Linked DNA regions of Bombyx mori. The protein of the gene in region 2 interacts with the protein of the main gene of each other region in a biochemical or structural test. Links are inferred from orthologs where the notes say so. Each region holds a gene or a part of one and is shown on either strand. Other genes may lie near its edges.

Evidence for each region.
Region 1: the proteins of Cdk7 (region 2) and general transcription factor IIH subunit 3 form a complex in vitro, tested with the Homo sapiens proteins (2 studies listed by BioGRID). The link is inferred for Bombyx mori from reciprocal best matches to the Homo sapiens genes CDK7 and GTF2H3.

What each region holds. Positions count from the first base shown.
Region 1 is NC_085132.1:5,293,268-5,295,804, reverse strand, and holds the end of general transcription factor IIH subunit 3, read right to left. Parts: intron 1,107-2,537; coding exon 870-1,106; 3' UTR 649-869; downstream 1-648. UniProt on the Homo sapiens protein: Component of the general transcription and DNA repair factor IIH (TFIIH) core complex, which is involved in general and transcription-coupled nucleotide excision repair (NER) of damaged DNA and, when complexed to CAK, in RNA transcription by RNA polymerase II.
Region 2 is NC_085127.1:9,211,363-9,215,125, reverse strand, and holds the start of Cdk7 (cyclin dependent kinase 7), read right to left. Parts: upstream 2,318-3,763; 5' UTR 2,170-2,317; intron 1,894-2,169; exon of another isoform or gene 1,567-1,893; intron 1,551-1,566; exon of another isoform or gene 1,354-1,550; intron 1,136-1,353; exon of another isoform or gene 1,013-1,135; intron 453-1,012; exon of another isoform or gene 306-452; intron 233-305; coding exon of another isoform or gene 1-232. UniProt on the Homo sapiens protein: Serine/threonine kinase involved in cell cycle control and in RNA polymerase II-mediated RNA transcription. Cyclin-dependent kinases (CDKs) are activated by the binding to a cyclin and mediate the progression through the cell cycle.

The DNA of each region.
Region 1 (2,537 bases), on a different chromosome or scaffold from region 2:
GAAGAGCAGGTTTATTTGCTCTTTGTTTGGGTGTTCATTATCTATATATATATATATATTTCAACGTAGGCATATAAGTACGTTTATTAGCCTCTGGTACCCAGCACACAGAGGATCTTAAATTGGGGCAGTGTGACTGTGCGTTATTTGTTTCCAGTTATTATTATTGAGCGATTTTAAACTACCGTCAACTGAAGCCATGGCCTCGTGACCTGAGAGTTTTTTTCCCTACCTAAGCTGATAACCTTGAGAGGCTATTTCAGCGTAACCTTAACTAGTAGTAGGTGAGCTCACGGGGCTCAAACCGGAGTGATGCTAACACTGACCCTAGCAAGAGCAGTGCTTCACAGAATCTACCACCGGATTGGAAACGCGACCCAATGGAAGATCCGGCGAGAAACTGCGGGCTGTGTCTATGGGTTAATTCGCTTGTCGAGCCCTTCGTCGCAAGCGACTGGTTCGACGAGGACGGTGACCGGCGCTTGTGGTACCTAAAAGCACCGTTAATGGATCGGGAGGATCCGTGATGACGTGTTTTGGGCGACGTCGACTGTTTACCATTCGGTCTACAGCAGCGGTCGGGGAACCGGGGTAAATTACCCCAAATGGGGTAAAATGAAATTGTGGGGGGTAAAAATGAAACTTTTGTGAGTAAAAAGTATATATTGAAGTGAAACTTCTTTAGAATCGTTGTGATTTCAAACTAGATGAAACGAAATGAAAAAATAATATATTTTTTCAAAATTATTATAGGTCTATAATATGAAAGATGCCAAAAAGAAGAGATTTCTTTATTTTTTGTTCTTCGTCATGGGGCAACATCAACTTACACAAAAATATTTTTGGGTAATAATTATAAAGTTCTCCGACTACTGGTCTACAGGATCGGGTATGTAGTTTCCAGCGGCCACGACAAGAGGGTTCTCATGTCGTGCCGCCTTTTCAAAGTGCCTGAGAGTAGTAAACTCACCACTCAAGCAAACCGAGCAGACGTAGCCGATGGTGAGCAGTTCCCTGTGGCAGAAGCAGGCAGCGCGGTAGTCCACGCGGCCCCGCCCCGGCAGTACCAGTTTACTTCTCTCATTGGCTTCCGGCAGGAAAACCCACTGGAACAGCATTGTACTTAACACCTTACCGGTGGTAGGACCTCTTGTGAGTCCGCACGGGTAGGTAGGTGAAGTCGTCGTGGCCTAACGGATAAGACCTGCGTTGCATTCGTGTTGAGCGATGCGCCGGTGTTCGAATCTCAGGTGGGTTCAAATTTTTCTAATGAAATACGTACTCAACAAATGTTCACGATTGACTTCCACGGTGAAGGAATAACATCGTGTAAAAAATAAAAACCCCCAAAATTATAATTTATGTAATTATTGGTGGTAGGACCTCTTGTGAGGCCGCAAAGGTAGGTACCACCAACCCGCCTATTTCTGCCGCGAAGCAGTAATGCGTTTCGGTTCGAAGGGTGGGGCAGCCGTTGTAACTATACTGAGACTTTAGAACTCATATCTCAAGGTCGGTGACGACATTTGCTTTGTAGATGTCTATGGACTCCGGTACCCACCTAACACCAGGTGGGCTGTGAGTTCGTCCACCTATCTAAGCAATAAAAATAAAAGGAAGAGTGAGTAGGAGCAGCACACTAGAGCTCTTTAGAAAAGTTTGACGGCGAAAACGATTTCCGATTTATCGTTTTATTATATATAAAATAAAACCATATCTTCGGTGGATACGGTCGAATTTCGTTCAACAAATAAAAATTCGATTAACATTCTATCTATATATATATATATACAATACCGTCTTTACAATAAGGGCACACGGGGCCCGTGCCCAGGGCCCCCATTCTCAGGGGGCCCCGAAGGACCGACAATTTCTCTCACACATTTATTCTCAAAACATTTTTGTTGGGCACATTACACTTTTTTCACAAATCAGTAATCTTATCAGAATGTATTTATAAGGCATATATTACGCCATTATATCGATGACTGCGCCTATTTCAACTGTACTAATTAATAATATTTCCGAACGCATCCTACCTAATTTACTGAGTACACCATCTAGCGATCAAGATAACGATTTCCGTTATCGTGATCGTAAAACCAAAAAACCAGCAGCATTCTAATATCATTAATGACACATTATATCATACCGTATTTGATTACCTATAATAAATGGTCATACTCAATAAAAAAATGTTATTATAATTCGCTTTTTTTACTTTCCAAAAGGGCCTCAAATTCTTGTGCGCTCAAGGGCCCCAGCCTGATTTAAGACGTCCCTGTATATATATATGATAGAACAAAATGCGAATGAAGGCGTACACGCGATAACAATATCTGATCGTATATCGATTGAGTGCACATTCGTATGTCCGCGGGTTGTAGTATTACCGATCGACCAGTAAGTACTGCAGCCTTAAGAGTACATAATAATAATATAATTATTTTATAATGATATTTAATGAAACTATGTTTTTAGTTATTAGTGAATATGGTCGAATTTCCTTCGACAAGCGTAATAATAAATAAAAATTC
Region 2 (3,763 bases):
GCATGCCTCCACGAAGACGCAGTACAAGATGGAGTGTGGATTCTTTTTGAATGTTGTAGTCTGACAAGGTGCGTCCGTCTTCCAGCTGCTTGCCAGCAAAGATGAGACGCTGTTGATCAGGAGGAATTCCTTCTTTGTCTTGGATCTTCGCCTTCACATTCTCAATTGTGTCAGAAGGCTCCACTTCTAATGTAATGGTCTTGCCAGTTAGAGTCTTCACAAAGATTTGCATGATGATCTGTAAACAATGAAAAATTTATGAATTTTATTTTATCTCCTTTTTAAATAGAGGTTTATTGTTGCAGATGGGCAGATGAGATCACCAAGTATCAAAGTGGTTACAGGGTCGCATAAACATTACAATGTGAATATTGCCATCTAATACAGCTGCACCACATTTCAAACTAAAAAGAATGACTGTTTAATTACAAGTAAATACATATATACACAAATTTTTGTTATTAAAAATTAGAGTAGGTGTCTCTCGATTCAGGTCTCAATAGGTAAGTATATATATTTTTTAAATTTTGTATGAAGCTATTATGAGTGGTATGGTGTGGAGAGTGCTTTGTAATCCCATCAGGACGCGTGGACGTCCTCGATGGCTGAATTGGCAGGGGGATCGATTATTAAGTGCTAAGCGAGCCTTTTAGGGTACCCTGATAGCACATAGGCAGATGCGTCACGAATGAACCTACGCACTGGATATGCGACCAGCTGAGAAGATCTGGCGAAAAACTCAGCAGGCTTACGCTATGACCTAATTACGTTTTAATTGTTGAAATATTGTAGAACATAACAATGAAACCATAATTATTGTGCATTTTCAACTAGACTCATCATTTCGTCACATACGTAATAATTACTTATATTCTGCAAAATGTTGAGCAAAAAGCAAATGAAAAACACGGATCGATAAGATAAAGCAAGAAAAATTTTAATTTGTTAAAGACAAACATGGCGTTCTCCTGATGAAAATTATATGTATGTACTTGAAAATTAATGTACTCACCTAGAAGATACAATAATTTCGCTTTGTCAGTTGTATGTCGAACAATTATGAGCTTTGTTTTTTATATAAAACAAAATGGAGTAGAAAAACACCTTATTTTAACTATAAGCTTGTCTATCACGTTGCAATCCGCTGGTCTTTTAATGCGTCAGCGAAACGAGGACAAACCTTTTATACGTGGCTATTCCGCAGCAAATCAATAAACCGAAACGAACCGAACAACATCCGAAGCTTTACGAAGTTTACCGAGCTATATAGTTGTTTCTCTTTAATTTCAAAGATAAAGAGAAATAGCTGTACTTTTCTAGAAGGCACTCGTACTTTATTGCTCAACCCAAATCAGCATTGATTCTCAGAAACGGTTTCTTTGTGACGTATTCTCAAAATTATAAATGTACTTAGAAGAATCACAAACATACATATTTACCTAATAAATACAATAAATTTTATCACAAATCAGCAAATTTTGGAATCAACAAAAGAATGACGAGCGCATTTCAGTTTACAGGTTACTTTTTGCAAATTGCACTTTATTTTAAGCTTTTGATACATACCTACGTATTTTAAAATATCATTATTTCAGTAAAATGCCTACAGCTGCGAACAATACTTAAACAAACGGTTACTGATGATTTTAGGTAGAATTTAATCTAATTATTATCTTAAAATGTACATTGTAGGTCAACATTTCCATTTAGGTCTTTAGTTTATTATCATGATATCGAAATGTAATGTAAAAAAACCAAAACAAACGATTCTTTGATTACATTTGAAAGTACATATCTGTATATGGTATGTCTATTAAGAATTTGATGGATTTAATATTATACACTTATCTAACCTAGCTGTTCCCCATTTCCTAACTTGAGAACCTTAAAGTGTTGGTATTCGTTGTATTTTTAAGCCTTGTAAGGAAAATACTACCACATGAAGCTTCACGGTCAATATTATTTTTCCTAGGCAACCTGCGTTCCCATTTAAGTGGTCTGGATAGGGGGTGTCTCTATTGCAATTGTGAATTCGACCCCATTAGTCAAATTGGGCGACAGCAACATTGCTCATTAATGTTACATGTCGTTTTGAACTAAATTTAATTAGACTATTAACTTTAGTCATTAAGGCCTTTAAGGCCTAGTGTCAAATTTTAGCCCACTCACCGTTATGTTGTACAGAACATGTGAATTTAAAAGTAAGTAGTCAATATTTTTCTAGCCTTGAATGTAGTACTTTCATACATAATTAAGAGTACTAGTTAGACTTTTTATTAGCGTCAGAATCATTGCGGGATAAATAAAAAAACAAAACAATTTTATGGTATTTTATGCGGCCATTTATTTGAAAAAAATCAATAACCATAGATTATACACTTAATATATTTTCAATAACCTTCTACTAACCCTGCACGCCTGATATATTTAGATTAGTGGTGCGCAAACTTTTTTCGACAATGACCCCTTCGTTAGACAAAATATTTGGCTACCACCCCTACACAAACATCCACAATTTTTTATTTTTTATTGCCTAGATGTGTGGACGAGTTCACAGCCCACCTGGTGTTAAGTGGTTACTAGAGCCCATAGACATTTACAACGTAAATGCGCCACACACCTTGAGATATAAGTTCTAAGGTCTCAGTATAGTTACAACGGCTGCCCCACCCTTCAAATCGAAACGCATTACTACTTCACGGCAGAAATAGGCAGGGTGGTGGTACCGACCCGTGCGGACTCACAAGAGGTCCTACCACCAGTAATACGATATGTTGCGCATCTTTCGTTTTCATCAATACAAACATGATTATTTCTAACACACATTAGTTTTATTTACAATTTTAAGAAAATTCTTTTTATAAAGCACTCGGTGGTTAGAGCCCCTGTTTGCTGCGCCGAGGGTCGTGGGTCCGATTCTCACATCGGGCAAACATTTGTGTGTTGACAGGTTTGATTGCTCTTTGTCTTGTTGTTTATTAAAATGTATTTACGCATGTATATTAGTCTCAGGTACCCATCAACAGGGAATCCTAATTTGGGGTCGGATGACCATGCATTATTTATTCCCATTATTCCCCCATATTAGTCAATAACAAATCAATAAAATTGCCGTCTAATGAGATGTATGAGGCTGCGATTTTTAAATTGCTTCATCAGTGTTTGGATCTATGTTAGTAATTACAATTGGATTTAGGGTTTGAACGCGAGCGGTATTTAGTTTTTATAGCAACCATTTTGCCAAATTCAGTTTCTCATAAATATTATGTTGATGTAAATTGTATATTAAGACTTTGTCATTTTTATTTAAATGGGCTATTGGCATGCTACGAATAACAAAATTTTTGGTAATACCGAGTCTTAAATTGATTTCGAAGATTGTCATCACCAACTGAAATATAAATATTAAAAAATGGTATATCCATTTTTGTTGTACGTACTATTATAATTCCCAGAAAAATATACCGTACATCAAGCCTGGCCAACCTGTGCCATCGACGTCAACATTGCACTCCAAAGGAAAATATCTATGGTGGGAGTGCCGTATTAGGAACAGCTAAATCCACCAAAAGTGAAAAAATGGCTACCTGTAGATTGCTTGACTCCTTGCTTGATTGAATACGACGAATTACCAACAGAGTATTTTTATTATAGGTATAGATTTAATAATATTTTGTACAAAGGCGTCTCTAGCCCATATAGCAATCGTGTGCAATCATTAGCCTAGAATCCTCTAGTAAGTGTGCGGTCAAAATGGAATAAT